Drosophila melanogaster: one gene and its partners. The protein of the gene in region 1 interacts with the protein of each later gene in a pairwise test. Each region holds a gene or a part of one and is shown in the gene's direction. Other genes may lie near its edges.

Region 1 (10,745 bases):
GTCCTCGTCTATAGTCTCGAGTGCCTTTTGCACCTTGGTGTCGAACAGATCGATGGCCTTCACGGGAGCAGCTGCGGGTGTGGTTGCGGATCGGGAATTGCTTTCCGAACTTGGACCCCTGGTTTTCCTCTGCGAAATAGACCGCGATTTGTGATGATCCCTGGTTCTGCTTTTGCTGTGCGTGCTGCGGGAACTACTCCTGCTGCTGGAGGAGCTGCGCGAGGTGCTGCGACTGCTACTGCGACTCCTTCTCGAGTACTTTTTCGACTTCTTGGCCTTTTTCTTCTTCGGTTTTGAAACCTGCCGGCTGCTCCTGCTGGGCGACTTTGATCTGTGTCGTCTGTCGCGGTCTCGCTCTCTGTCTCTTTCTCGGTCCCGATCTCTATCCCTCTCTCTGTCGCGATCTCTGTCACGGCGGTCGCGATCCCTCATAATGTGTCCTTTATCGGCAGTTAATTATTTATTTAGTTTTTTATTTATGTTATATTTCTTGTGTGCCGGACGTCGCTCATTCCCAAAATACAAAATCGCCTGTCAAGAAAACGCAACATTTTTACGAATATTCCAGCTGGCCACACTGATTGTGTCAACATGTTTACCGCCTATCGATTTTTGGACTTATCGACCGATTTTAATTTAAACTAATAGGCGCGAATTTTAATTATAGTAATCACTTTAAAATATTTAACTTAGAACTATGTGTAATATTAAATCAATTAATTCTTTTTAACATATTCATTTAATATACTACATTTATTGAGTTTTGTCCTTACCGGCTTAGCATGTCAGTTTACAGACTGATGTGGGGTCTTTTAATGTCCAGTTTGCCGTACGCCCAAAGCAGGAAATACTAATTGCTGATTAACTCTTAGCAATTATACCTAATCAGCAGTTATCAAGATTATAGGAGACCTTATCGCTGATGACCACTAGCCATTCGTTAAATCAACTGGGATCGAAATTCCCACACGATCTATCAGTCTTGGCGAATCAAACCATTTTGCAGGCAAAAATAAACAGTCATAAATTAGGCAGCCAAATCTAGGAATCCTTATCAAGTTCCTGGGGGGCATATAAAAGGCACGGGCGGCCAAGTCAGCGGTCAAAGCACCTGCACCTGTGGAATACAAAATGTTGGTGGTTCAGCTAATTGCGGTTTTTTTAAGTCTGGGCTTGGCTAATGCCCTGCCTGCGGATACGGGGCGCGCCAGTTCGGTGACAACTGTAAGTTTTAGGATGCCATGTTCTTTGGCACCCAAAAGTCCTTACTAACCACTATATTGCTCTACTTTCCAGGTCACCATTGTTAGGGGACACGGTTACGAAATCGAGGAGCACGAGGTGCAGACCTCGGATGGTTACATCCTCACAATGCACCGCATACCGTACTCGAAGAACACTGGGTACGATGGGCCACGCCCTGTTGTCTTCCTTATGCACGGTCTGTTGTGTTCCTCCTCGGATTGGGTTCTTGCTGGACCTCACAGTGGGCTGGCATACCTGCTGTCCGAAGCGGGCTACGATGTGTGGATGGGTAATGCCAGAGGCAACACCTACTCCAAAAGACACGCCAGCAAGTCGCCGCTGCTGCAGCCCTTCTGGAATTTTGAGTGGCACGATATCGGAATCTATGATCTGCCCGCTATGATGGATTACGTCCTTTACTGGACAAATGTGACTCAACTTACGTATGTGGGTCACTCTCAAGGAACCACATCCTTTTTTGTGCTCAACTCTATGATTCCGCGCTTCAAGAGTCGCATTCGATCTGCTCATTTGCTCGCTCCTGTGGCCTGGATGGAGCATATGGAGAGTCCTTTGGCCACGGTCGGTGGACCACTGCTTGGTCAGCCCAATGCCTTCGTCGAGCTCTTCGGCAGCGCCGAATTTTTGCCAAATACACAGCTAATGAACCTGTTCGGGGCTCTCCTCTGCAGCGATGAGGCCATTTCACAGTTCATGTGCACCAACACCCTATTCCTGCTGGGCGGCTGGAACTCGCCATATATCAACGAGACCCTGCTCCCAGATATTATGGCCACCACTCCGGCGGGATGCTCAGTAAATCAGATCTTCCACTACCTGCAGGAGTACAATTCCGGATACTTCCGGCAATTCGACTACGGATCTACGCGCAACAAGAAGGAGTACAGCAGCAAGACCCCGCCGGAGTACGATGTGGAGGGCATCGATGTGCCCACCTATCTCTATTACTCTGACAACGACTACTTTGCTAGTCTGATTGACGTGGATCGCCTTAGGTATACCATGAACCCGAGCGCCCTGAAAAGCGCATATCGCATGCCGGAAGAAAAGTGGAATCATATCGACTTTCTGTGGGGACTGAATATTAAAGAAATTCTTTATGATCGGGTAATTAACGACATAAATAATGCATAAATGTGCGCTGGAAATAAAAAAAAGCGACATACGTTTTTGTGACATTGTGATAAAAAAAGTTCCATTGGTCACCACTTCAACGGGGGCTTTTGGTAGCTAATGAACCGATAATATACGAGTGGTCATAAATTCAAATTGATTTGGTGACACTTCACGGTGACTGAACAACGCAAAACGAACTAGCCTGCTAACATTTTTTGCCTTATAAGTGCACCTGCTAAATACAATGGATTATATTAAGTGTAATATAATAAAATATAAGCTGTACTAGATATTTTTATTTTATTTGCTGATTGTGTACTGTTGAGAAATATTTTGCACTCTTAGTTTGAATTGCGCGCCAACTTTCAGGGATGAAGCATCTTGTAAAATCATCGATAGACTTTCAGCGTTTTTTGTGGTAGTCGATAGTCCGCAACATACTGATCATAGTAAAAAATATCTGTAATGTATATTTAGGTGGGAAAATATATTCATGGCATTTATTTATACGTTAAATCAATTCTTGTTATGATATTCCTTAATTGTAAAAAAATTTTATTCTTGTTCTTATTAGCAGAATATAAAATTGACCAGTTTACGTTAACACTTTTTTTTAAATACAAAAATTTGATTTATATTTGTTTATATTTTAACGAACCGATGTGTGGTGCACCACTGTGCGTGTGTCACGACAATACCCAAGCCGATATTATCGATGTTTTCATCGATGTTATTTACTCGAGCAGGTACATCCACGCAAGGAAAGCTAATTCGAGCGAAAAAAAATTTACTTAGCTCTTAATATTTTTAAAAACAACGCCCTCGCTGGGCCAGTGGTCGGTTAACTAGTTAGCTGTAAGATGACGCGCGTAACGAGAAGTGAAATCTCCCTGGACATGGAGTTCTGGGTGGAGGAGCTGTCGCCGGCACAATTGGCGTACTACGAGAAGATTACTAACGAGCACAACGCGGTGAAGGGTGCACTAAAGAACGCGGTTAGCGCCAACGAGGGCAAGGAGCTGTTTAACGGCCAGGTGTTCCAGGCCTACTCCTTTAAGGGCAAAGTGCTGCAGGAGCTCAAGGAGGCTACGCTGCCCAAAAAACCACCCAAGCCGACGGACTCTCCCTCAACACCCGCCGCCCAAAGCGGTGGCACAGGGCGGGGTCGTGGCCGCCCACCACGACAACCATCCAACATCGCCTACCTGGAGTCCTCCGATGAGGGAGACGACGATATGCCGCTGGCCAAGCGACTGGCGCTGTCTGCAGGCAAAAAAGCAGTGGCCGTGGCCAATGCATCTTCCTCGTTCACCCCGAAATCCAGTAAGAAGGCTGCATCCGCTGCTAGTGGAGGATCTTCTTCACCGGTACCTAAGAGCAGTGGAAAACTATTTAAGGAATCCAAACCGGACATCGAATCGCCGCCGAAGAACTACCGCCCCGCCGAGGTTAATTCGGTGGGCGGTCTGGTGGTGGGCAGCACCGACGAAAGCAAGGATAGCAAAGACGGCAAGGATGGCAAGGATAACAAGATGCAAGGAAAGACATATCCATCTCTGGTGGTGCTAGCAAAGCCTTTTCTCAAGATCAAAGACATGGCTGCCACCCGCAGCAAGCTGGACTCGAAGGTTAAGCTGGTGCTCATGCTTACGCCCAATAAATTCTGCGAGTGGCTGCTCCAGGAGGGATTGCTACGCGCTCAACAGCATTGCATAAACCATCGCAACAACGAGCTCAAATTGGGTAAGAGATATATGATCAACTGAATTCGTTTATTAATGTATTTATATTTAGGAATTTATTCGGATGTGACCAAGTTTCCCTACACTGGTGGCTATGTGTGGATCAGCGAATGTTGCCCCTACCGCTTCGTCTCCGTGTTCAACAATTCCATTTTCGAAGGAGCTCAGCACCCACCCACATTCCTGTTGAAGTTAATTTACCACTGGGCTTGCCAGACCAGTATTCAAAATGTGGTGCAGTGGGTTAAGGTGGACAGTGTTTATATCAAAGGAATCTACACCTGGCTTAGAGCCATTTGCACTTTGGCAGTGCATCAAAAATGCAAGAAGCTGGGCGGTCCCGGCAAGTTTGTGGAGGTGGGTGTTATTTCCCTAGGAACCACATCCCAAGATGGCTCCCAGCGACAAGTGAAAGTTGAGGTTCTGGGCGTCTATGATTATGCGGAGAAGTCCATCCGACTGCGGGCTGTAGAGCCAATCACCGATGGTGATCGTAACTACAAAAAGCGATTCCAGGCCATTCTTGAGCCACTGTCGCGCTGGGTGCACAAGGACAGCACCATTTGTATAGACTTGACTGTCGACAAGATCACCCTCTTCAGCATGGGATTCAAAAATATTGTCCAAGCAGCTGCCACTGACAACACAGCCAAGCACAACAACTCAGCGGTAATGGAATATTTGCGACGGATTGTGCCGCGCATGTTCCAGAACACCCTATCGTTGCTATCTCGCCAGATGATTCAACAATTCCTCGACGAGTTGGTATGGCGAGAGTCCTTTGGTACATATGCCTTGCAGGCATTCAACAATATCATAATACACATTGCCGAGCAGACAAGAGTAACCACCAATGAGACAATCACTCAGCGTCTGTATCAGGTAAGCAGAATCGAAAAATTTTTATTAGCGATTAGCCTTTAATAGCTCTTTCGTTTAGGTGGCAACCAATCCGTTCAAGGACTGGAGTATTTTGCCGGCCAACTACAAGGAGACACCTGCCAATGCTGCTCCCAAGCGCCTCAAGAAACGTTAGTACTATCGTACTTTTGTAGCAAGTTTTTATTTAGGCCGTGAATAGAATAGTGCGTTATGATAATCTGTTAAGTGCCTGCGTTTCTCACTCCAAACTGAAATGTTTTCGTTTTGTTTGATTAGTTTTGGTTAATCGAACCCAACAGCTGAGCTCAGGTCCACTTATTGTGTTATGTGAATTGTGAATTTATATAATCTATATAGGTGAAATGTATCATTGATATATTCACATATGTACAATTTAAGCATTACTTCCTGACATTTCTCGTGTCTAATTATTTTAAAACAACCCCATTAGAGAAACCATAAATAAACTTGCAAGAAATTTAATAACTGTTTTTATTTGATTTCCTTTTTCATTTGGAGTGATAAAACGCAAGAAAGAATTTACTAATTAAATTGATTGGACCCATTCCACCAGATTCAACAAAAATGGACAAATATGTAATGTTTAAGTTTGTATGTTGAGATTACATCTTTTTAAGTTAACATCTTCAATTGCAGCTATCAACGATGCTGACTACGTTGTTTCTAACAAGATTCCCAAGAAGGAAAAGGATCGTGATATAGCATCATCTGGAGTCAAGCGCGGCCGTCCACCGAATGCATTAGGCACCCCACCACCTCAATTGCCAATTAAAAAGGGTCCAGGTCGGCCGCCGGGCAGTACCAACCAGACAAAAGGAGACAGAGCAACGACCTCGTCATCTAAATCACTGTCTAAATCTCTGATAGCTAAAGGCCTTGGTAAAAAACCGAAAGAAAAAGATGAAAAGATTCCAATGGTCATTAAGAAAGAAGAGGATGATCTAAGGGGCTTGGAGGAGCTGTACTATGGAATAAGTGATGGTACGGACGAGTACCACGAGATCTTTCCATATAGCACACCCCGTACGGTTCACAACGAACTGGCCAAGACCGTGGAGTGTCCAATCTGCCTGAACGGCGACTCCTTCGATTCCAATGAGAAACTCCAAACGCATTTAGTATCGCATATTTCGCCAGAGGGTAAGCAGCACCAGTTCCAGTGCCTTTTTTGCTTGGAGAAGCATCCCACCGAGTCGGTTTTGGCCAAACACAACCAGATCATGCATCCAACTGAGACAAAAACGGAGGGTTCACCCTCGTACTACTGCCTAATATGCCAGCAGCGTCACAATTCCCTGCATCTGTTGACGGCTCATTTGCAGAAGGTCCACAGCACCCTGGAACTACCATATTGGTGTCACTCCTGCGGCTATCGATCATCTTCGCACCGCGATTTGGTCAGGCATTTTTATGACGACCACAAGCATCAAAACTTTTTACAGTGCCCCTATTGCTTGGATGTAAGTAGCTGTCATGGTAAAGTAATCTTGTAAAGTTCTCTCTATTAAAAACTGATTCTTTTTAGATTTTCTACTTCTCAAAGCTTGGCGTCGTTAACCAGCTGCGCATAGAACATTACTTCATGCATTTGGACGAGCACATCAACAAGCGTGATCCCTCGCTGCGCTGCCAGAAATGCTCGCTATCCTTCCTCGAGAAGGGGGATCTAAAGCAGCACGCAGTGCAGCATCATGTGAGCATGACTAAGACCAATAGACCGGTGCGTCTCTTACTCAACAACTCGATGTTGATACCACCGCCAAAGATTCGCACCCATCACCGCGAGCAGCCGCCGTTCTCCACCTACAAGCGGCCAGTATTCTTTGCTTTTCTGGAGGGTAAGACCTGTGCCGAGTGCAACACCGATTTCGCCAGCGAGGAGACACATTACACGTAAGTTCAAAAATATTTTATTTACCTAAGCAATAAATCGCCATGGATAAAGGTGCCAGTATTCACAAGAGAAAACCAGAGCTGACAGTATCCAACCAATTCCCAAGACACACCAGCCCAGTCTCAAAGTATCCACATCGATACTTTGATAGCCCAGGACGTTATCTACAAACCTAACGTATCCAGCACGCATGGCATCGTTAAAGTCGGAAACTACCCAGTGATTCAGCAGTCCAGTATCCTGAATCTTCAATATGAAATGGTTAAGGGATGTCTCCAAGTGGCTGTCAACGCGCATTGGATAGCCAATATGTGGAGATCCCAAGCAAGCAGATGAAAAGCGAAAAATCGGCTTAAAGGCATATTGCTGTTGCATGGCAAAAAACTGCCAACGTTCTTCTGTAAAAGGGTACGCGAAGCTGCGATTAAAACTCAGCAAAGCGGACACCTGTTCACTGGCATTTACAGGCACCAAAAGCCGAGATACTTTTTCCACTAATCGAGGTTCAACATGGCGCAGAAATGTGTTAATTTCATACTCCTTGACGAGCACCCTTTGCTGCTGGTGGACAAGCTGATCCATGCTATTTACTTGCTCGCCCACTACTATGGTTGTGAAGAAGCTGTCCAACTCAATGTTGTACCAACTTGTGGACATGAATCCCAGGACTGAAAGTTGTAGGAAAATAATCAAATGGCGCCATGTTGGTCTGTAAATTGTTATAGGGGGGCTGATAAAAAGTATCTTGCTTATCGCATCTAGAAAATTCAATCCCAAGCGTTGCGGCCAAGAACTTTTATTGAGTTTCGGGCTTATGCAATAGAGAATTCCAGTGATGTAGAAAACTGCGAATAACAGAATATACCAGCTGTACAATTGGAATGGTCGCAATAGGTACATGTGCCTTGGAATCTCATTTCTCATGGGCACAATCAAGCAGTTTGGATATATTAGTAAGGGGTAACTCTTGGTTGCTGTTGGGGGTGTGAAAACGTACGGGTGCAAAGAGATTTCCAATTGACCGTCTATAATCAACTGCACAATGTGGTTCATATTCACACTAGTTGTTGGGTCTAGATTCTCATCTGGATTGGTCAAACGCAGCGAGGCATTATAGTGATCCAAATATTCCACGAATGTGCGATATGCGTATCCCAGCACCTTTCTGCTCTTCGTTAATGGATCGTGCACATGAAACACTCTCGGAATATCATTTTCCGCCGGAGTGGATACTACATATCCATGGAAATTCCTTGCTGCATGTGGAAATAGCGGTTCCGTATGAATATCGAGTTTGAAAAAACGCATCGCCGGATACGGAGTGTAGGAATAAAGCTGATCCCTTTGCAGGACAAGAACGTTGAGGAATTGATATTGCCATAAGGCGTTGAATATTGATTTAATAGCACCTTGCGAGCCACTTCTTTGATTACGCAGAATGATGATCAATCGAATGCGACGGAGTTTTCGTAGATTTCTATCCAGAGTAAGCCACATGATATCATGTTTATCATGACAAAAGAACAAAGCTATGCCATTGTATCTAGTGATTTTAAAATGACCAAGGGGTCTTATATGTTCAGGTTGGAGAAATAAATTCATTGTCAAGCTAGTAACTCCCATTGTTTGATGGAGCCAAATAATCAAGTCGTTGAGGTCGCCTCCTTGCGTATTATGTCCGACGAATATTGGTGTATTTATCCACGGCTCCCGTGTAGAGATGAGACTTAGAACGGATTTCAACAATGTCACATTGTAAGCAGCGTTTGTTAGCGCCAGTAATAAAATAACGACCAATAAGGTTAACACTTTGCACATGGTGGTTGATTCAATTGTGACAAGCCAGAACCGCGGGTTGAGGTTTATAAGTCAGCAGCTAATTGATTTAATAGTGGCTGATTGATCTCTTGGGGAAAACTCATTAGAATGTGTGAGGCAATAATTTGTAATAAAAGGTTTTGGCGCTCTACGCACTCATTTAATCACTTTTTTATATTAAATCTTTTCCCAGTGGTTGGCTACACTGCGTTAAGTGCAATTATCAGACATGTTGCGAGCGAGCGCAATTCCGTCATGGCGTGGAATGTAATGGAAACTTTGTGGACGCCATGGAAGTGAATATGCCACAGGAGATGCACTGCATCTGCGGCTTTGCCACCGGCAACGGCAACAAGATGGCTCAGCACTTGGCAAATTGTGGACTTAGCACCTGCTACCCAAGTTTGGAGGCTGCCAGTGAGAATGCCGTCAAGCGTAATATGCTGGACATGTTGGGCCTGGTTCGACGCGATGGAGAAACCTCTGGTGAAGGTGCAGATATTAGCGAGACTGCTGATGATGTCGCGGATCAGAGCTCCGACATGTTGCCGCCGCAGGAGGACCATCATTTGCAGCAACACCATCAACAGGTGGGACATCAGCAACAGATGCAGGGACAGCCGAATGAACCGCAAGCGGAACTTCAACAGGAATACTTGTCGGCGCCAGTTGAGCATGAGCCCGTGCAGAATATGCCAGTACATCAGAGCATGCCGGTGCAGCAGACCGGTCCAATACAATTTGGAGAAATGGAGGCGGCCCCAGTTTTGCTGGATACCCAGCAGCAGGTACAACCCACCCCGGATTATGCTCAAGTTTCGGTGGTGCAACAGCACCAACAGCAACAGCCCTACGGACTAAGCAACTACGGCCAAAGCTCTTTAGCCACGGATATCGACATGCCACTGATTGGAGAGCTCTCTGAGCCAAATGCTCCACCCACGCCCCAGTTCCTGGGCGAGGTGCACACGCCCATGTTCGATGCAGTCGCTGCCGCCGAGCAGCAGCACTATCACGCCCAGCACCATCACCATCCGCAATGATACAAGCCCCACGGAAAGCTCAAATCACGCGACTATACCCTTCACTGGCAGAACTATTAGTTAAAGTTCATTCATATTCATCGCACATTGGCCATATCCCGAATTCCGTATCACCAATACGAAGGCAAATAAATTGTATAGCACCTATTTATGAATTGTATATTGGCCCCTTTTAAAATTAATGAAACATCATAAATGAAATCTCAGTTGCACAAGGGATTTGAATGCTGGATGTGAGTTGGGATTTTCAAAAGATCCGTTTTGAAAGGCGTAATCAATCCTCTGCAATGGGATCTTTATCTTTACATCTAAAATATCTTTCAATTCATTTGAATATTGGAACCTTATTAATTGTAAATGACAAACAATTTAAATTGTAAATGACAAACAATTTGTAAGTTTAAAATATACCTTCATATCCTTAATTACGACTTTTATTTGTTTTGTATTGAAAAGTTTGTGAATTCTTGAATACCACGCACACATGTGGTCTACGCAATTTCGTTTAATTGGCATGAATTCAAATTATGGTAAAGTGGGAGGGCACAAAATATTTTATTGACAGGTAAGGTAACCATTATTGTAATAAGGTTATTACAACGCTAATTATGTGAATTAGTGGTAAAAGCGCCAGCGCTCGCAAAGAAAAATCAAGGTGGATAGCAGCCACCCACATAGGAGTACTGCCCACCGCAGGCGCAAGGAATCGACATCTAACGAGTGAAATCCTAGGAAGTTTTCCAGAAGTCGAACATAGCCAGCGCGCATTGCATCGTTAAAATCGGATACTACCCAGTGCCGCAGAAGTCCTGCGGCCTGGATCCGCATGATGAACATGTTCAATGACGACTGCAGGTGGCAGTCACTTTTCATGGGATAGCCTATAATCGGGGAGCCCAGGCATGCCGATGAGAATCTGAAGATTGGCTTGAAGGCGTATTGCTGTTGTAGTGAGAAGAACTC
Region 2 (7,786 bases), on another chromosome or scaffold:
CCCTGAGTTTTCCATACAAGCTATTGTAATCGGTTAATTAATGAGGGCTATAAATTTTATCTTTTGAATATAAAATACGTTTTAATCTATTTGTGTTGCACATTTTCTTAGATTATTCTCTTAGCCCTGGTGGCTTTCTGCCACGCAGCACCTCTGGATGTCAAGGAGTCTACCTCTGAGGAGCTCTCTAGGCCCAGTCCCATCAGCCCCGATGTGCTCGTTGATCCCAAGCCCACCGCCAAGGTAGTCTTGCTGAAGGATGCTCCCGTCCTGAATCGCCAGAGGCGTAATGAACCCAAGAAGCCCGACAGCGTGGAGGCCCACGAACAGCTGCATCACTCGCAGCCGGCCGTTCCTATTCATGACCAGAAGCCTTCTCCGGCTGGGCCACAGGACCACAAGCGCAAGAGGGAAGCTCACCACGAGGAGGGTCACCATGGTGACGATGCAGTGCCCCAGAAGGAGGAAGTGAAGCAAGCTCCCGAGGACCATGACGCCAAGAAGGAAAAGAGAGAGGCTCACCATGAGGAGGGTCACCAAGACCATGAGGCTCCTCATAAGGAGGAAGTGAAGCAGGCCCCCGAAGCTCATGATGCCAAAAGGGAAAAGCGAGAGGCTCACCACGAGGAAGGCCACCATGGTGATGATGCAGCTCCACATAAGGAGGAAGTGAAGCAGGCTCCCGAAACACATGAGGACAAGAAGGAAAAGAGGGAAGCTCACCACGAGGAGGGCCACAAGGATGAGGCAGGTGATCGTCCTCAGGTGGAGGATCTTTCGCTGCCCCATGCCCTGCCCGCTGTGGCCCACACCGCCGAGCTGCCCAAGAAGCAGGAAAAGCGCGAGACTGTGGAGAAACCCGACAGCGTGAAGGCCCGTGAGTCGCTCCAGCACAATCCCCAGCGATCCCAGGAGCTCCACAAGGCCATCGAATCTCTGGCCGGTGGAAAGGCGCCGGAACAGCGTCACCAGCGCGATATTCCCGTGCCCACGCAAACCAAAGCCACCACCACCACCGATCTCCCATCCACCACCAAATCGGAGCTGGAAAGCACCACTCCGTCCATCCACAATCTCCACATCCCCCATCCCATTCCCGTGGCCGAGCTCTTCGAGAAGAACAAGCACGCGGATAAGTCCACTTCCAGTTCCGAGGAAAGCAAGGAGAAAGCTAAGGCCTAGGCTTCCTATGTTAAGAGTCGCTAATGGGACCATCACGAGATTTGTAGTCAGCGAAACGAACTAAAATAAACACAAATATTTACATGCTTATATAAAAAGACTGGGCGTTAATTATTTAATAAATATTTATGTGGATGGCTGTCTGTAAAAAGGCAGTTAATATAATAGGCAAAGTAAAAAGTGGTATCTACTGCATTTCAGGCATTAATTATGGGTAAAACTTCCAAGAATTAATTCAATTGTAATATAATTTAATATTACTTCAAGGGAAATATATGAAGCTTTAAATGTACTTCATATTTGTTAATAATACTTCTACACACGTTGGTAATAATAAATTTAAGAACCTTGTACCGATTTTAAACGCCTTCAAGCGCACTAAATTTTATGCGTTAAAGTAGCTTCCTGGTAACAAATTTAATTTGTGTTCTAGACAAAGGCGTACACAGAGAATTGTTATTATAGTAAAGCTGTATTGCAGTTTTTTTTAGAATTTTTCCACGTTATAGGCAGCAATTTAAATGCGAGACTCCACGGATTTCCCCGTATAAATTCGAGCAATTTAACTTCGCGCTTCCCGTAAAAAAAAACATTGAATATTTACGTAAGCACCTCTTCGCTAATTATTCACTAAATATTTATGGCATCCACGTAGCTAACTGCTATTTTATTCACTACTCTAATGTAAGTAATCAGTAATATAAATATAAACAGCCAGACTTAATGTAACAATAAACAACGTATTGTTTGCCTCGGTTTTTTCCATTCTATCTGTAATTTTTCGCTATAATTATAATGACAATTATAACAAGTAGGTGCTTAAATGTAATTACGAAGCTGAATTTAGATGTCTTTGTCTTAATTTGATAGTTATTGCATATTCAAAATGCATTAGAAATGCCTAATTTAAAAACAAAATGCAAATGAAGTTGCTTTTAGAAAGTTAATAAAATTACCTTTATGTTTTTACATCTGCAAAGATCCTCTAACTTCTAGTAACATCTCTATTTTAAGCTTAGTAAAACTAGGTTTCATCTAATTATTCCATATATGTTTAGTCATTTAGCTACGTAGTTCTCCTCCTCCGACTTTCCGAAGTAATCGTCGGATTTGTAGATCTCCACAGGCTGATATTCCTCCTCGACGAGATTGGATCGTGGCAGGGAGCTGAGTGTGCTGGTATCGCTGGCACTTAACTTGGCCTTCAGCGGCTTCAGGAGAAGTCCCTTGAGGCTGTAGTCTGTGACATGCAGCTCCTCCTCGGCTATATCCACAGATCTTTCCACTTCCGACAAATTGGCACTAACTACACCCACACATTGCTCCAGACCATCGATTCTGGCCTTCAGTTGCTCGAAACTGTCTGTGAAACCTAGTATAGAGCAGACGTTGTTGGCCATCATGCCATTGGATTCCGCACGCACCTAAAAGTCAATAAACTATTAGTGAAAACACTAACTTTAAAGAAAACAACTAACCGAAGCCAACAAAGTCTCAAATTCATCCAATCTGGCCAGCATATCCTCGATATTCGTGCACAGTGGATTTATCTCCTTCTCCAGGTCGGCGCTCTGCAGTATCTTTGCATAGTCCCGTGATACATTCTCAATATTCGATTGCATATTTCAGGCGTTGGTTTAATTAGCTGAATATTTGTAAATACAAGCAACAATTGTTTTCACTTTCGACCAGTGTGACCATAATTGAGGAGGGTAAAACTCCTATCAGCTAAAGTGTGACCCCAAAGCATTTGCCCGCTGTCCCGCTGCTGCTCATTCTGGTCATACTGTTTTCTATTGATTTTGGAAATTGTTAGCTTGCAGCATTTGCTTGGATTTGTAGCACAATGAGTGGATATCGAGGCATTGGCGGTGGGGGCTTCCCCTACCGCAAGCCAGCAAGTTCCGGCAACAACATGAACGCCGTACCGCCGCCCCCGATGCTGAATGCCCGTGGCTATTCTGGTTCCCGCGGAGGATTTGGAGGAGCAAGCCGTGGCGGTGTCACCGGGAGCACTACATCAACGTCCAAGCACGGCTACTCCACCTTGGACTCCATCAGCCAGTACACCAATGCCACCAATCTGGTTGGCAAAAGGAAGCACCACACGGACGATGACTATTTCGATGATGACGATGAGCCCCGGGAAAAGGAGATAGAACAAGCCTATATACCGGCACCAGGATCCCCGGGAGCTCCGCCAACGTCGGCCAAAAAGCAAGAGGATTCCGATTCGGATGAGGATCCCCTCGAGCAGTTCATGGCGGGCATCAACCAGCAGGTGGAGAAGGAGAAGCGTCAACAAGCACCTAAGCCGCCAACTCAGGCGGTGAGAGGTGACATCGATGACGAGGACGATGAGGAGAGCTACTATCGCTACATGAAGGAGAATCCCAATGCTGGACTTCGCGACGAGGGATCCGATCAGGAAATCGAATACGATGAGGATGGCAATCCCATAGCCCCACCGAAGAAAAAGGACATTGATCCTCTGCCGCCCATCTACCATTCCGAAATCGAGTACGAACCCTTCGAGAAGAACTTCTACACGCAGCATGACGACATAGCCGCCCTGGATGATGAGCAAGTCCGGGAATTAAGGCGCACACTTGGCGTAAAGGTCACTGGTCCATCACCACCCAAACCAGTCACGTCCTTCGGCCATTTCGGCTTTGATGAGCAACTCATCAAGGCCGTGAGGAAAGCGGAGTATACACAGCCCACACCCATCCAGGCACAAGCAGTGCCCACCGCCCTGTCCGGCAGAGACATCATTGGCATAGCCAAAACTGGTTCCGGTAAGACAGCAGCTTTCATCTGGCCGATGCTAATGCATGTGATGGATCAGAAACAGCTGAAGCCAGGCGACGGACCCATAGGACTTATCCTAGCACCTACACGCGAGCTTTCCCTGCAGATCTACAACGAGGCCAAGAAGTTTGGCAAGGTCTACAACCTGAACGTGGTCTGCTGCTACGGCGGAGGCTCCAAATGGGAGCAAAGTAAAGCTCTGGAACAGGGAGCGGAAATTATTGTGGCCACGCCAGGACGTATGATAGATATGGTCAAGATGAAGGCCACCAATCTGAGGAGGGTCACTTTCCTAGTGCTTGACGAGGCCGACCGTATGTTCCACATGGGCTTTGAGCCCCAGGTTCGCTCCATCTGCAACCACGTGCGTCCAGATCGTCAATGCCTAATGTTTTCGGCCACCTTTAAGAAGCGAATTGAACGTCTGGCCAGAGATGTGCTTTCCGATCCCGTGAGAATAGTGCAGGGAGACCTGAACGAGGCCAATCAGGACATTACACAGTCTGTGTACGTCTTCCCCAATCCCCTGCAGAAATGGAATTGGCTGCTGTGCCATCTGGTGAAGTTCCTTTCCGAAGGAAGTGTCCTGATCTTTGTGACTAAAAAAGTAGATGCTGAAACGGTGTCTAACAATCTTTTAATTAAGGAGTACAATTGTCTTTTACTCCACGGCGATATGGACCAAGCGGACAGAAACAAGGTCATCACTCAGTTTAAGAGAAAAGAGTGCGATATTCTAGTGGCCACCGACGTGGCAGCCAGAGGATTGGATATACCCCATATTAGGAATGTGGTAAACTACGACACAGCCAGGGACATTGAAACCCACACGCACAGAATTGGAAGAACGGGCAGAGCCGGTGAAAAGGGTAATGCATACACTCTAGTCACCGATAAGGACAAGGAGTTCGCCGGACATCTGGTGCGTAACTTGGAGGGAGCCGATCAGCTGGTGCCCGACGATCTGATGGAGCTGGCCATGAAGAGTTCCTGGTTCCGCAGCTCACGCTTCAAGCAGGGCAAAGGCAAGAGACCAACAAATACCCACACAGGATTGGGCTATCGGGAGAAAGGAAATGGAGGTGGTGGCTATGGTTCGGCTGGTGGCTCGGAGTCCACTGCGAGTGTGTCTGCCCACAGTCCTTCCGACGGACCCTCTAGCAAAGCCTTTTCGAGCTCGGGACCAGCCACAGATCGCTATACAGCAATGAGGGAGGCATTCCGATCCCAGTATAACAATCAGTTCCGTGCGTCCAGCGATCGCACTTGGGAGAAAACTCTGCCGGAGTCGGGAGTTTTCGCTGCGCCAATGGCACCGCCCTCATCATCAACACAGGGTGCTTCCGCCTCATCGGCCAACAACAGCAGCAACCAGGATGCCAAAAGAGCCAAGAAGAGTCGCTGGAATTGAACGACGAGCCCAATAAACTGATGCTGCTATTTGGTTTATTTCTCTTCATATTATTTAATGTGTATTTGCTTTTGTTCCATCGTTTAAAATTACAACTTATGAACTAAATTTAAACATATTATATATAATCAGATATATACCATGTTCATTCATAAAGATTACGTTAGTTAAATACTCGTATGTACAACTCTCTTCCTTCGCAGCCAGTTCCAGCGAACGATCCCACAGATCCAAATAAAAATATTCATTAATTGTAATCATGGTTATGTGTATTTTATTTTGAATAAAATCACATTTGCGCATCCCAACTGCCTATCGATATTGTTAATCGTTAATCGTGTCATTTTAATTTTAATTTTTCCATTTCATTAAGCGAGAGAAGAAATCGAACTGGAATATCGAAATCTTGAAGCTAAATTGTTCGTTTAATCATTATGAAATATTGTTTTACAATGAAACCACTACGAATTTTGTTTCTTTTTCGCTTTTGGATATACGTGTTTATATTATAATTAAATTACGTGTGTTTTTGATAACATTGAGAAGAGATTTGAGATTCATTTAACTACCACATCGAGGCGATTTCGCGTAAATTTTCGACTTTTTCGATTTATTCGATTTTTTTTTCGATTTGTTTCGTTTTGTTAAGCGCTGAACGGGGAATAAGCCGGGGCAAAGCTTAAAAATTTCGCTATATTTGAATATCATATCAGATACGTACATGAATATATATATATATTCCGTTATATATAGTTCGCGTATATACTCTATTCAAAGACTCGTCGGTGTGTGGGTGTTATACATATATATATGTATATATATATATATTTGTATATAAAAATTGGTCCATGTTAACCACATCGTACGAAACAAATCGGAAAATCAGGAGAAAATCCAAAAAGAAAACGGGGGAAAATTGTGTGGGAAAATAAGACGCAAACGAAAATTATAACACTTTAATTTTAGTTTTGAAATACTTTTTGTTTTCTTCATTTATTATTATCATTATTTAAATGTATTAATTAGCTTTTGTGTGTTTTTTTTTGGGGGGAGGGGTTCTGTTTTTTGTTGTTGCCGCATATATAACATACATATCCAATATATACAATATATTTTAGATCTAGCATTAAATTTGATTTACACTTTTAATAGTTTGTTTCTCTCTTCCACTAATTATGCAGTTTCGCTTTGTCACTTAATTGTACACATTTACTTTCTGTTCGTTATAGTTAATATTATCTTAATATTTCCTCAGCTGGTCTGTTAAATTTCGTTTATCGTTTACCAAGCTAAATCATTTACTTTTAATATGTAGATAGGCTTTAAAAAATAATTAAAATTATGCAACAATTAAAATGTAAATGTTTTCATTTTATAAATGTAATAAAATTGTTGGGATTTCACTTGTATGTATTTTGTGTTTCTCGATTTTCGTTTTTGTTTTGTTTTTCTTTGCTCATGTTTTGTTGTTGCGCTGATTTAATAGATTGTTTTTTTTTTTTTTAATACTTTGTAAATGAACAAGAAACATTTTGCAACAAAAGTCTGGGATAAGGCAAAACAAAAAATGTAATTTTCAAATAAACGAACAAAGGACTTTCTGCTGCATTTTAAATTCGTAAATTTCATTGAAGGAATTTTCATGCTCTCAACTGAATTGGTTTCTTTTTTTTTTAATTTTTTATATGGTATAATGACTGTTTGTTAATTTTTACGCTTTAGTGTGCATTTTTTTTGTAGTTTTCATGGGTTTTTCTCAGTTAGCTTTAAATTAAATGCCAATTAATTTAATTAATTAATTTTTAAATCACATTTCATTGTTTTTCAACACGGGCAAATTCAAATTTCCGCTTCGATTTCTCATCCAGTGTGTTGTTTGTAATAGTTTATCCATTTTGTTTTTTGTTTTTGTTTTTTTTTTTTGTGTATTTTTACTTGTTGCTGCTGTTGGTTTGTGTGAGGAAACGAAAATGTTGGTTGAAGTACGCGACTGGCGTCTAGTGCACATTTCATTAAAATTAATAATACTATATACAATTTATGGTATTCTGCCACTTCAATTCTCCAACTCTCTCCCAGCTTCGCCCCTGCCTTTTTTTGGCCTAGTCGAATAACGTGGCCAGCAAGTCGTCGCTGGCGTTGTTGTTGCTGCTGCCACTCGAGGGCGGCGTGTTAAGATCGGGCTGAGGATCCAGATAGGACAGAATCTCCATGGGATCCACATCTTGCAGCAGCTATAAATGATTTCGAAAATGCGTAAATTAATATTTTTCCCATTGTTCAGAGGTGTAAGCTTTATACTCACATTCAGATCGTGGGCTGTATCGTTTATGGCCGCTGCCGCCGCATCGAAGCTCTGCAGCTCGGCACTCAGATCGCTTT
Region 3 (6,282 bases), on another chromosome or scaffold:
ATTTACCGGAGCCGCCTCCGATAATGTTCCCAGTTACTCCGGAAGCAGTGTTGGCGACTCCTACGATGGTGCTGCCAGCAGCCCGGACTACTCGGTCTCCAGCGAACTGAACAAGGAGTACTACACCTTCGAGGCTGACGAGAGCCAGTTCGAGGATCCTCTGGCCGCCCAGAAGATCGCCGGCTCCGTGAACAAGGGACTCCGCGTGGTCTTCATCAAGGGACCCGAAAACCGTGGCCTGGAGAACGCTGCTCTGGCCCTCGCCAAGCAGGCTGCCGAGCAGAGGACCGCCATCTATGTCTTGAACAAGCAGACCGACATTGGAGATCTGGCCCAGAAATTCAATGCCGCCCGCCAGAACTCCAACCAGCGTCCTGAGGTGCACTTCGTCAAGTACAGGACTCCCGAGGATGCGGCCAATGCCCAGCGTGCCATCCAGTCGCAGTACGATAACCTGGGAGGATCCAGCCAGTCCATCAACGGAGGAGTTGCCAACGCCATCAACTTCGCCTCCGCTGCCCCCGTGGTTCCCGCTCGTCGTGGCCCCAACTACTCCCCACCAGCCGCCGCCACGAGCAACTCCTACCTGCCCGCCAACATCCTGCGTCGCCTGCGCATCCGTTAAGGACCGAACGAAAACCGACAGTTGTTAAATGTGTTGTATAAATGTAATTGAATAAAAAACGAAAATCGATAAAAACAAATACGCTTAGATTTATATATCTATTTTTAATCTAGATCTTCGAAGTTTCTGACTTTGTCATCGGCCATTGCAATTTGTTTGTTTTTTAATAGCTTTTCCTTATAATAACATTTATGCAAAGCTGAATTGCTCTGCGAGCCCGAACAAAAGCCGTTCGCTGCCTACTTTGTAGGCGGACAAAACATTTAGCAGCATCAGCGCTTTGTCTTCGAAAAACTGCGCCGCCAGCTTCGAAGTTGGGTTAGTATATATAGTTACCGCCGCCGTGGTCATAGGCAGAAGCAATTTGTGCTCCGAACCAAGAGAACCTCAAACCCAAAACTAAAGATGCGCGCCTTCATCGTAAGTGGTGTAGCCAGGACTTAAGACGAATTCACAACTAACGGATAACCCTTGAATCCTGTAGGTAATGTGCCTGGTGGCAGTCGCCTGCGCCGATAAGCTCGGCTACAACTACCAGCCCGTGGGACACTCCAGCTCCGGACTGTCCTTTGCTCCTGGAAGTGGCAGCATTGGAGGTGGATCCATTGGAGGTGGTTCGATTGGAGGAGGCTCCATTGGAGGAGGATCCATTGGAGGAGGCCTCATTGGTGGTGGCTCTATCGGAGGCGGTTCCATTGGAGGTGGTTCCCTTGGTGGTTCCATCGGTGGTGGCTCTATTGATTCCGGTCTTGGCGGTCTTGGTGGACTCGGTGGTCTAGGAGGTGGCGACGCTCTGGCCGCTCCAGTCTCCTACAACGCCCCCGCTCCCGCTGCTGAGCTCCAGAAGGAGTTCTTCACCTACTCCGCCAACGAGCAGGACTTCGATGAGCCACAAGAACTGGAGCGTGTTGCTGGATCCGTAAACAAGGGACTGCGCGTTGTCTTCATCAAGGGACCCGAGAACCGTGGTCTGGAGAACGCTGCCCTAGCCCTCGCCAAGCAGGCTGCCCAGCAGGAGACCGCCATCTATGTCCTGAACAAGCAGGCCGATATTGGAGATCTTGCCCAGAAACTGAACGCCATCCGCAACAACAATAACAACAAGCCCGAGGTGCACTTCGTCAAGTACCGCACTCCCGAGGATGCTGCCAACGCCCAGCGCGCCATCCAGTCGCAGTACGACCAATTGGGAGGATCCTCTCAGGCCCACAACGGTGGTGTGGCACCCGCCCTGAACTTCGCCTCCGCTGGTCCCGTCCAGAAGGCTAATGCTCAGATCCCTGAGAACGCTTACCTGCCCACTTCCATCTTCCGTCGTCGTTTGTAAATATTTTAACGACTTCGAGATGAAGGCGTTGACTGTTCTTGTTAAATCTTATTGTTGAAATCTATTGATAAATAATATACAAAAATCTGAATACAAACATTCTATGATATTTTATATTGGATGGTGGTGTAGTAAACAATAGTGTATACCTTCCGATGACAACATGAGTGGAGTTACAAGTTGGGCTTTTAGAAAATTATTTCAGTCTTTGGTGAGATTTTTCGACCTGTTTTTATTGCACAAAAAGTTTGGTAATGACTTTTAATTTGAATTTATTCTTAAAAAGGTGCAACGCTATTAACTTAATACAAAGCAAAAGACCTTTAAAACTCATTAAGAATTTGGTAAGCTATATTACCCAAGGCAGCTTCCCGATGACCTTGACGTTTAATATTTGTCATAACCAAAATATTATCCTACGAAGTACTGGGAAAAGAATAAAATAAAATATTTCCGCATATTTTAAATGTAGGCAAAATGTTTTTACGACAAAAAAGTTAAATTAAATATAAACATATCGTTTTCACCACTCTCAAGTTAAATTTTTTATTTCATTAGTAATATATGCGAAAATAAAGAATCAATGAACTGGGGGCGGCATTTCAAACATCTCATTAGACGACTTGCTAAATTTAGCGCTTGCATCATGTCCATAAATCAGAACTAAACAGATGTGTCGAAAACGATTATAATGACTAAACGATTGTCATTCAGTCGGAAAAACCAAGTGCAGATGTCCTACATAAAACAAGCTTTTAGCCTTGCCGAAGAATTTGTCAAAAAAATGTATTTTATATAATACTCGTACCTAATTATGACCCATCTGCATGTTAAACTCATTCCGACGTGCTCGCGACATATTAATTTTATAATTCAATATGAATTCTTGTAAACTATTGGACGAAACTCGAAATATTTGAATAACCCACGACGGCCAGACTCTGCCCATTGAAACGCAACCAAAAAATTCCACACCGAACATTAAAAAAAACAGAGGAAGCAAAAACCTTTGTAGGCGGCAAAACACAGTGGCTTCAAAGAAATCTCCGTGCAGCAGACGCCGCGGCGGTATCTTTGTCTTTATCAGCCTCCAAGATGGATTTGTATAAATAATAAAGATCGCTCCTAGCCAGAGACACAAGCAACTCATACCTCAAAGCAAAAGAACCAGCAATCTGCTTAAGATGCGCGCATTCATTGTAAGTAGCGCGGTTAAGGATTCAAAGGATTATACGCCAGGATAACACTTCTCTTTTCATGCCTCCAGGTCCTGTGTTTGGTGGCAGTCACCTGCGCCGATAAGCTCGGCTACAACTACCAGCCCGTTGGCCACTCCAGCTCCGGACTGTCCTTCGCTCCTGGCAGCGGCTCTATCAGTGGTGGATCTATTGGAGGAGGCTCCATCGGAGGAGGTTCTATTGGAGGAGGCTCTATTGGAGGAGGCCTCATTGGTGGTGGCTCTATCGGAGGAGGAAGCATCGGAGGTGGATCCCTTGGTGGTTCCATCGGTGGTGGCTCCATCGATTCCGGTCTTGGCGGTCTTGGTGGACTCGGTGGTCTAGGAGGTGGCGACGCTCTGGCCGCTCCAGTCTCCTACAACGCCCCCGCTCCCGCTGCTGAGCTCCAGAAGGAATTCTTCACCTACTCCGCCAACGAGCAGGACTTCGATGAGCCACAAGAACTGGAGCGTGTTGCTGGATCCGTAAACAAGGGACTGCGCGTTGTCTTCATCAAGGGACCCGAGAACCGTGGTCTGGAGAACGCTGCCCTGGCCCTCGCCAAGCAGGCTGCCCAGCAGGAGACCGCCATCTATGTCCTGAACAAGCAGGCTGATATTGGAGATCTTGCCCAGAAACTGAACGCCATCCGCAACAACAACAACAACAAGCCCGAGGTGCACTTCGTCAAGTACCGCACTCCCGAGGATGCTGCCAACGCCCAGCGCGCCATCCAGGGTCAGTACGACCAGCTGGGAGGATCCTCTCAGGCTCATGATGGTGGTGTTGCACCCGCCCTGAACTTCGCCTCCGCTGGACCCGTCCAGAAGGCTAACGCCCAGATCCCCGACAACGCCTACCTGCCCACTTCTGTGTTCCGTCGTCTGCGTTTCTAGGAAGGCTACATCTTGGACTCCATTAACTTAAGCAAATCTCGACTGAAGAACTCATTCTTCCTGTTACACGTTGTTGACTAATGCATAATTACACCAATAAATTTGAAATTTAAATACGAAAATTTAAACAAAGGTCTACCTTATGTGTTTTATAGAGTGAGATTTTTATTGCGGCTTGGCCATAGTAGCTAATGGTGCATTAAGTCCGCCTTGTTTGGCTTGATTGTTTGCGGATGGGTTAAGTATAAAAAGTGCCCTTCAAACTATAAATATCTCGAATTGACGACATCAAGATCAGGAAAGGCAGTTCGGAGCAGGTTTCCTTTATGAGTTTAAGCCCTCGTCGAATCATATTCACCTAGACTTTCCATACAAATCAATGGACTAATTATCTGACATAGCCAACTCGCATGCCGCCAAATTAATTGACTACAAGATTAGATCCACCCACTTGGCCAGCGGGAAGCATTAATACCGGACTCCCGGCCAACGAGGAACTGGTTCTTTCCCGACGACAGCTCAAGGTCGCGAAGATGCCAACAACTGTTAGATGACCTGGTTTCCGAGGCCCGTCGTGTGTCACGTACAATTAGAAAGGAATCTCAAGTGCAACCCACATACGAAGGCAATGAAGATTTATGCCCAATCGAAACCTGATTAGCCATAAAAACAAAGTCTAATCATTAATTTTATTAAGCTGACGATCACTTTTTTGTTGAAATCATTAACAAATAAGCGGTTCTGTATACATATTCAAGCAAATATAACAAAACAATCCGATTGAAACAGCCAAGAGATCGGTTATTTTTCTTTTATTTGTGCATAAATTATAAGCCAATTATGGGTGAATCACGATAGTTCGGAAAACGACTGGACTCGCAATCGGATCTTAGCTCGGACTCGGACTTCGATTCGGAATCTCATCTCAGTCGGCGGCACGATTGAAGCTGTCTTTTGCCCACAACAATGTGTTAAATGTGTTAAGAGCGAAATTATGTTAGCAGATTAACAGCATTCCGAAAACCCGATGGCCAATAGCCACTGGCCATTCGCGAGTCACGATTCGTGAGCGGAGATCGATGATCGCCGTGTTCCGCCAGAGGGACCCCAAAGTGACTAGACGGCTCAATTGACTAGATTTTCTAGTCTAATTTTAAACGTCGTCGCGTTGGCGGTATAAAAGGTAGATAATGAATGCTATATTATTCATTCGTCTAGAATATCTCGTAGGCATCGGGTCAATATGCGTGCCCTCATTATTCTAAGCATTGTGGCAGCGGCAAGTGCCGGTAGCTTGTCCGGATATAATTACGGACAAGGTGCGACAACCAGTATTGGGGGCAGTGGTGTATCCCCAGTCCCTGCACTGGCGGGACCAGTTAGCTATAGTGCCGCTCCCCAGGCGTCAGTTCACAAGGAGTTCTACAGCTTCTATGCCAACGATGACGACTTCGAGGATAAGGCTGCTCTCCAGAGGGCTCTTGCCTCGGTCAAGAAGAACATTCGCGTCATCTTCATCAAGTCGCCGGAGAACCGTGGCTACGAGAATGCCGTTTTGGCCCTGGCTAAACAGGCGGCCCAGCAGCAGACTGCCATATATGTGCTGCACAAACAGACTGATATCAACGAGCTGGCCCAGAAATTCAATGCCGTGCGCCAGAATGCCAACAAGAAGCCCGAGGTGCACTTCGTCAAGTACAGGACACCTGAGGATGCTGCCAATGCCCAGCGGGCAATCCAATCGCAGTACGATCAACTCGGCGGCTCCAGCCAGTCCATCAACGGTGGCGTGGCTAATGCCATCAACTTTGCATCCCAGGGAGCTGCTCCAGCACGCGTTACTCCTCAACAGGTGCCCCAGAGCAACTACCTACCCGCCAACATCCTGAGTCGCCTGCGTCACTAGAAAATCGATTGTTAAACGTTGTTTTCGAATAAAAGTTATCTAATTTGGTTATGTAAATTATTGTATTTTCATTTGGTTAATTCCTTTAAAAATTGACGAAAGCAACATAAGTATGCAACAGTTTTCAAAATAAATTGTATACCTATTTATAGCAGCGATAATCGAATAAAAACAGAAAGAAAGAAGAAAGAAGAAATAAAAATACTTGTTCAAAACCCAAGATCTCAGCAGCCATAAACTGGTATTAAATTTTGAATATGGTTAAAGTATAAACTAGTTCCTAAGAAATATATAAGTGCTTCTACTTATGT
Region 4 (7,739 bases), on another chromosome or scaffold:
GAGTCTATCATAACAAGAGAGAAATATATATATATAAAATCGTATAATCTTAAGTTATAATAGGCTCTTATCTGAAAGACAAGGGCTCTGATTGAAAGTTCTTATCATATTCTCGGTTGGCTCGCATGAAATTTTTTATCACGAATTAATTTAAAAAGCCGTCGATAGTGCCAATGTAAACAGTTCTGTGAAAACCATGATTGCGAATGGACAACAAACCATGTGGCGCCATCGCCACCTGGCCACTATCCTCCTGCTGGCGGTGTGCGTTTCCCAAGGATCTGGATTAGCCTTGGACCAACCCGAAGGACGCGTTGTGGGTGGAAAAGCGGCGGCGGCCAATAGTGCTCCGTATATAGTGTCCATGCAGTACGGAGGAACTCACTATTGCGCCGCTAACATCATTAATTCCAACTGGCTGGTAACGGCTGCTCACTGCCTGGCCAATAGGAATCAAGTACTTGGAAGCACCCTGGTGGCTGGAAGCATTGCGGTGGCCGGAACAGCGAGCACAACACAGAAGAGGCAAATCACCCACTATGTGATCAATGATCTTTATACCGGCGGAACTGTGCCCTATGACATCGGATTGATTTACACGCCCACCGCCTTCACTTGGACCGCTGCAGTGGCTCCGGTGAAGCTGCCATCGTCCGGCGTGAGGCCAACTGGAAAGGCTGACCTCTTTGGCTGGGGCAGTACTAGCAAAACGAATAGCCCCTCATATCCGAAAACCCTCCAGGAGGCGAAGAACATACCCATCATAAGCCTCGACTCCTGCGCTGCGGCACTTGGCTCTAAGGGTCAGGATGTGCACACCACGAACCTGTGCACAGGTCCTCTCACCGGCGGCACCAGCTTTTGCACCTCGGACTCCGGTGGTCCGCTGGTCCAGGGAAACGTTCTAATCGGCATCGTGTCTTGGGGAAAACTTCCATGTGGTCAGCCCAACTCTCCGTCGGTGTATGTCCAGGTCTCCTCGTTCATAACATGGATAGCAGCCAACCAAAAGAAATGAATTCTGGAGTATAAGATAGTATCTGAATAAAGAAATACTTATGAGATTGCAGTATCACGTGCTTATTATAAATGACAACTTTTAGAGTCTTTAAAATCATGCATTAATTGATTGTAATGTATCTTTGAAAGAACTTAAAAGCATTTATATACATTTTGTTATATGTCGAATTATCTTATCTAATAAATAAATAGAGCTAGTTTAAGAAGATGGTAACCAATGTATATATATATTTTATAACAAAGTAAATCAGATAAGACTATAAATGTTTTAGATATCCAACTTATATGTGAACCCAATTTTAACTAGATAAAGCTTTCCAAGAAGTAGCAAAAATAAAGATATAAAAATAAGCTTTATCTTTTCTTTTGTTATAAAAAACTGAATATAAACCAAAAAAGGGTAATGTCAACAAGATGTTATCTTTACCAAGAAATATCCGGATTAACTTTCCATTTTTCTATTGCACAACTATTCTGAGCACTATACTCCCCAGGGAACTTAGCACTTGGAATGAGTTTTGCTTTTGAATCCGTCTCACTTTTGGTGTCAGCACGTCCAGATTTCATTTCATCCCAGACACTCCTCTTCAATCGCTGTTTTTATCAATCATATTGATCGGAATGTTCTTATTGGGAAACTAATTGCTCGGTAAGTTGCTGGACACGATCGCAATCAGTTTATTGACACGACCAGTACATAATTGAATGGACATATCAATTTCCCATCACAATCACACCAGCAAAGCTTATTAAGTGCCTCCAAAAGAGCTTCGCAAGCAAGGCGGCCAAGAGCGCGGAACGTGGCCCAAAGAACGATGGCCAGAACACGCCCGCAGCTAATCAGGCTCTAATGGCGATAAATATTTCATTCTATATTATTCTGTTTCCATTCCCCCAACCAAACACGCCTCCAAGTCCCAGTCAAGCTGCCTGGCCAAGGAGTCAAGACAAAGCGACGACTCAACGGGAATGGACAGGGGAGTCCACCAGAACAGACCCACCGACGGACCCCCGCCTCCATCAGACGGACAAAATCTCCGACGCGATCGATGAAGACAAGGCTGATAAAGGAGTCACCATGCGGGAACCAGAGATGCCGCAGTGAGTCCACCCGAATTTCGAAAAAGTGGAAGTTGCATTTCTTATAGAGAGTAATCAATTGCGATCATTTGCAGCATATTATGAAGAACAAGTTTTAAAACTCAAAAAATTTGTTTAGTATAAGTTTAAAAAGAGTTTTTAGTTTATAAAAGTGAATACAAACTTATGTTGCATTCACGATGTCATCTCCGTTCTGAACAAAAGAAATTCATCTGAGCAAAGTTGAGGCAAGGCCAGATCACTGTGCTTCCTTCGCAATCTTTGTGTTATGAATCGAACAGATTTATGCAACCTGGCGAACAACATGGGCGGCTGCTCCTCCGTCGCCAGTCTCCAGATCCCTGCTCCCTCAATCGTTTGCTGCGTTCCTCCGCCGACGAGGATGAGGATGAGGATGCGACCGCGACATTTGGCTGCGCCATTATGAGTAATGGAGTAATGCCTGGAATTATTTACTTGGGGGCTTTATTGGCGTCGGCATTTGGCATCGGAATGAATGTCTGTGCTTTATGGTCTTTTGTGTATATACACACGCAAGTATATATTATTATATTTTTTCATGTCGGGATTCTGCGGTCGGAAAGACTGCGAATGGTTTTATAATTGGTAAAGGGAAGAACGGATTATTGAAATGAGTTAGATATGATTGGGCCATAAATAAGAGGTATAGATTGCATTGTTGATTCAAATAAAGTGACTAATGTGTTTGAAAAAATAGTAAATAGTGTAAAATATACAAAATATGTGTGAACAAATAAATTCTTGTCTTAACAAATAATATTCATATTTGCATTATGCTAGGTATAATTTTGTGTACATGAAGTTGAAAGTAAAGCCCCGCAAAAGTTACACCATTATTTTAATCACATGTCACGGACAATTATGTGTGGTGTCAATGAAGGCAGCTTGTCACTTTCTAGTTCATTCAACTCTTTAAATAAACTATTGAAGGTTTTTATTTTTCAAAAAAATAGCCCGTCCGAACTTTTATCTTTGCAATCGTTCCGCGAACTTTGGCCAATCTTATGGACAAAATCTAAAGCGAAATCTAATTTTTAATTGGCCAACAAACTGCGGACAAGCGACATTTCATGCTTATCGGCAGTACAACCAGCAATTAATCTCCCTTCGGTGGAATGGAGAAGACTCTCTTAGCAGATGCTCTCTTTCTCTCGAGAGAATATATCTCTTTCGCTGCAGCTTTCGAACGAGAATCTTTGGCGCGCTCGAACAGAAAAAGAATTCAGTATGCAGACAACTTTCTTCCGAATGCTTTTCTTAAAAGCAACTCGAACTTGTTGCTGAGCCTCAGTTTGAAAACAGCACGCGACGCGTTCAGAACGAGAAAACCATACGCGCAAGGTGGATATAAAAATAATAATAAAAAAAAAACACAATAAATGACTCTTCTTCGAAGACTCAAAGACTAGAAGACACTTCTTGTGGTCAACGATGATCGAACCCTTGAGTGGCAGTGGTGAAGTGCAAGCATAAGCAAACAAACAAATCAATAATAAACTAAGCTGTGGAGTTATATTCAATGCTTTTTTGTTTTTGTGCCCCACAGTTAGAGTGGATATAGGAAAACCTCAGACTGGACAGGTATGTGAACTTGCGGAAAACTCCAGGAATGCATCATTGGGAATTCTTGGTTCGTTCTTGGGGTCGTTGTTGCGGTTCTTTGTGGCCTCGCCGCCAGCTCTTTCCACACTTTGGGCATGCTAAAATTTAATAAGTGTTTTCCTCAAACCGTTTTTCCTGTCGCCTCTTTTTCACGCTTTTTTTTTCTACGTAGCTGTTCTTGTTGTTCAATTCTGTGATGCATTACCGTAGGGGGGGGGGGTGTGGTATATGCAGTTGGCACGTCCCTCTTTGCCGCCACCAACTTGGCAAATTCTTGCGGCACATTTCATTTATCTGTTTCGCTCCCGCTGCCAAAAGCATTTTCCGCGTCGTGTCGTGTTAACGGTATTGTTTACATGGTTAATAGAACCCACCGACTTGGTGGCCAGATAAATAAATACTAGTAGACACACACAAAAACCTACAGCCGGAGCCAAAAGACCATGCTTCAGTGCACTCGTTCTTGCGGCCGCAGAGACAAAAGCAAAATCACACACAATCGAAAGACTCAGGCAACGAACTGACTCCACAGGCAACGATTCCTGTGTGTTGATCTAGGTGTAATGAGTGCGGTAAAACAACATATACATTTTAATTCGTTTCTTGGAAGACTCTAATAATATTATCAAAGATTTCTGCACTTCTTTGCGTATTTATCAAAGCGTAAAGAGAACATGAAAATTCATATTTTATTCAATACAAACGAAAGACTGAGGCAACGAACTTTCTGGTAATAAAAAGTAAATGGTGTATTTATTTAATTGAATTAGAAATGAAATTCCCAACTGTATAATGTTAATCAAGTTATTCCGATTCCCAGCAAATCTATGCTAATTAAATAATGCTTACCAGCTTGCGCAGACCAATTAAAGAAATAGTCGATGACAGTAAAAGAAGCAGCCACCAAATTGCTTATTTATTAGCCAAAAGAAAAGAAAATATCTGGAAACGGCATGCTAATGATGTAAACTAAGCATTTAACTGTTAAGATGCCAGCAGCGGCAGGCAAACATAAAAAGTCGCATCACTGGGGCACACTGTGAGAAAAGCGGGGAGGTTCAATTGGGGCAAGACGAACCCAAGGTAACGCCGACAAAAAAAAAACTTAGGCGACTTCCTAAGACAAATCAAAGCCGTTACAATGGTCGCACAGCCGCAAAAAACGCACTCGGAATTGGAAAACCGGGGAAACCAGAAGGGAGAAGACCGAGAGTGTGGAGATCAAGGGAGAGAATGTAGGTTGCACTGGCTTTAATTACACTGCACAAAAAAGGAGGGTCAACAAATAAAAGATAAATATAACTTAGAAAAAAATCACCGTCGTACAAGTTTTGGGCAAAGTTTGTCCATCCTAAAATGGGAATATAAAATAAGATATTATTATTATTTATTAAATGTAATACTTAGTAAAATAAATCTATCTTTCGGCTTAATACAAATAAATCTTTCAAAATACATTACGTAAGAAAAAATGTGGATTTCTAAGATCTACCTTGTCATTATTATATACTCGTCTTTGTTTCCTGTGTATAAATGTTCAGAGTAATCTTTTGCTACTCAGATACTGACTGTGATGTTGTTCTTACTTTTTTGTTTAAGAAATTACCGTTTTATGTTGACAAAAAGAAGCAAGAAGAAGCAGCTGCGCTAGAAGAAGGAGAACTGGCTTAAGGTTGAGCTGGGAGTTTGAGTTTGTGTTTGGCTTCTGTGTGATTACAGTACCGCTCCTAATGATCATCATTAGATAGCCAAGGGTTTTTTTCTCTTCCATCCAGCTGCTGCGCCGATTCTACTGCTTCTTCTTGCCACTTCTTGGAGCTTGACGTGACGACATGCAATCGCAAAGAAGGTAGAAAGAAGAAGCTATAAGAAGCGGTAGAACAACACCAATAATATTTGATAATGCAAAGCGGAAGCTATAAAACTCGTGTGTAAGACGACATTTTACGTTAGACGGCCATTAAGGCGAGCCAAAAGAGAATTTGCTAATTGCCTGCAATTGAAAATGTTAGTGAAAGAACTCAGGGAGCTAAAGGAAATCTACGAGCTTGGGTACGAAGACGGGAAGAAAGCTTCATTAGGCTATATAATAATGTCTTTAACTGGAAGTCGAAATACACGACAATTATATGGTGCATAAATGACCTATATTCTATGTAAGTCTCAACTTTGAGAAACTGAAGAAAATTTTAAAAATGTTTGTCAAAAATCGTAGAATAATAAATTCATTTTATTCACTTACGCAATTAGTTGTAAAAAATAATAATCTTACCAGAAATTTGTAGAGCCTAGTCGAGTTAATGAGCTTACAAAGCCACTTGATATCTTTAAGGTATCAAAAGAACTTCCTGACTGCCCTTTGGTCATCTCGATAATCTGACCAAAGTGTGGTGTGCCACAAATTCGATTATCAGGGCCGGGAGCTGAGCTTCGACCGCCATCTCAAGGTCGAAAAAAAAAGTATCTTGTATCTGGTATCTGGTATCTAAACTCTCCTTTCAAGTGGAGCGCTGTAGTCCAGCCCACAGTTAGCGCGGCCACATTAGCAACATCTGATATGCCGAATAGCACTGGGCACTTAAGGAGAGGCCCCATTACCCGGCCAAGAACAACAAAAGCTGGCCCGCACGTAATCTGATATTGCAACGGTGAGGCAAGCAGCTGAAAAAGAGTGCACGTATAAAGAAGGCAGCGAAAAAGCAAAAACCAAACCAAACTTAGCCTGGCCATATGAGGAGAATCTCTTTCTTTTGTGTCGCCACTATCCGAATAACATCAGCGAAATACACGGAAAATAAGCAGACTTATGGAAATTAGATATACCTACCCCTATAAAAGGGTGTTGCTGGTCCATATATGAGGTTTATATTATGCAAAATATGGGCTTCGTAATTAATCTATTAGATTGTTGTTTATGTAACCAAACATTTTAGTACCTAGCTTATATATAAATGTATTTTATTTGGACACTTAGGTGTCATTTTTCCCATAGATATTAATACAATTTAATGGGGAGATATAAATTTCCTTTTTATGACCTTTGTTCTATGCTTCAATAAAACGTAAACCCATGTGCTTCCTTGACTTCTGTCGGCACATTTTTTGTAACGCATTGTCAGATTAATTGCCACAGGAGGAGGAATTTTAAAAGCCATCTATTCCCTGCTAATTAACTTCGGACTCCTCACGGCGACGTGCTGCAAGAACAGAGTCGAAGATAAAACATTTTATGGCTCTCTTAGGTGCTTTCCCCACCTGCAGCACGCCCCATTCCAACGCCAGTTGAAGTACAAAATACAAAAACCAAACCCTGGGCCACTCTAAGCCAAAGTCGGGCCTTGGGTTATTTATCAGAGCTGTCAGCGGGCCATAAATTCCGACTTTTGTCACTACCATTTATGGCCTAAAGAGTTAACCAATAAAAAAAAAAAACACAATTGGCTGGCGCAATGCGTTATATAAGCACTATGTCTGCATCTGATCTAACGGTGCTTGGCTCTGGGTTCTTTTGGGGTTCTTTTGGATTCTTTTGGAGTCTCTGGATTTTCTTGGGCTGCCCGGTTTCCTTGTTTACAAGACACCTTGACAAATGTGCCCGGAAAGAGGAAAACATTCGAGACGGAAAAACAACACGAGTCAGAAATTTGCATGGCAACTGAAATGGAAATGGGTGGAGTGAGAAGCAGCCAGGAAAAAGAAAAAAAAACAACAGCGATCACAACTCCATTGCAGTTTTATGGTGCATTGTCTTGCAGCGCTAGAAAGCTGAATAAAAAAAAAAGAAAGGAATCGCCAATTGTAACAAAAGTCAGAACAAGTTTGCCACAAACTCTGGCCGGTCGTTGGCTTTGGCCCACAGAGATGCGCGTGTGATGGAATTATGATCATGTTTCGCGGCACTTATGGAGTTTTCTAAACCACACAATATATGCACTTGCCATGACTTCAAAAACTGGGACACATCTTAAAGATGTGGTCTATACGAATTTAAAGCA

The links.
Region 2: the proteins of row (region 1) and CG6418 interact in a two-hybrid assay, tested with the Drosophila melanogaster proteins (one large-scale study listed by BioGRID).
Region 3: the proteins of row (region 1) and TwdlB interact in a two-hybrid assay, tested with the Drosophila melanogaster proteins (one large-scale study listed by BioGRID).
Region 4: the proteins of row (region 1) and CG17211 interact in a two-hybrid assay, tested with the Drosophila melanogaster proteins (one large-scale study listed by BioGRID).

The regions. Positions count from the first base shown.
Region 1 is NT_033778.4:15,205,987-15,216,731, reverse strand, and holds row (relative of woc), read left to right. Parts: upstream 1-3,097; 5' UTR 3,098-3,242; coding exon 3,243-4,125; intron 4,126-4,176; coding exon 4,177-5,006; intron 5,007-5,064; coding exon 5,065-5,155; coding exon of another isoform or gene 5,156-5,160; exon of another isoform or gene 5,161-5,487; intron 5,488-5,663; coding exon 5,664-6,487; intron 6,488-6,552; coding exon 6,553-6,920; intron 6,921-6,945; coding exon of another isoform or gene 6,946-8,739; intron 8,740-8,932; coding exon 8,933-9,782; coding exon of another isoform or gene 9,783-9,842; 3' UTR 9,843-10,205; downstream 10,206-10,745. Other genes in the region: CG11808 (uncharacterized protein), read right to left, coding at 1-432; CG8093 (uncharacterized protein), read left to right, coding at 1,132-1,224, 1,297-2,400; Ir51b (ionotropic receptor 51b), read right to left, coding at 6,946-8,739.
Region 2 is NT_037436.4:10,874,188-10,881,973, reverse strand, and holds CG6418 (uncharacterized protein), read left to right. Parts: upstream 1-2,936; 5' UTR 2,937-3,028; coding exon 3,029-5,404; 3' UTR 5,405-5,659; downstream 5,660-7,786. Other genes in the region: CG6409 (uncharacterized protein), read left to right, coding at 112-1,182; Blos4 (biogenesis of lysosome-related organelles complex 1, subunit 4), read right to left, coding at 2,241-2,606, 2,661-2,804; tna (tonalli), read right to left, coding at 7,507-7,638, 7,710-7,786.
Region 3 is NT_033777.3:26,620,351-26,626,632, reverse strand, and holds TwdlB (TweedleB), read left to right. Parts: upstream 1-3,089; 5' UTR 3,090-3,136; coding exon 3,137-3,151; intron 3,152-3,219; coding exon 3,220-4,065; 3' UTR 4,066-4,182; downstream 4,183-6,282. Other genes in the region: TwdlO (TweedleO), read left to right, coding at 1-625; TwdlL (TweedleL), read left to right, coding at 1,031-1,045, 1,110-1,952; TwdlP (TweedleP), read left to right, coding at 5,309-5,971.
Region 4 is NT_033779.5:12,110,928-12,118,666, forward strand, and holds the start of CG17211 (uncharacterized protein), read left to right. Parts: upstream 1-3,432; 5' UTR 3,433-3,723; intron 3,724-7,739. Other genes in the region: Phae2 (phaedra 2), read left to right, coding at 221-1,018.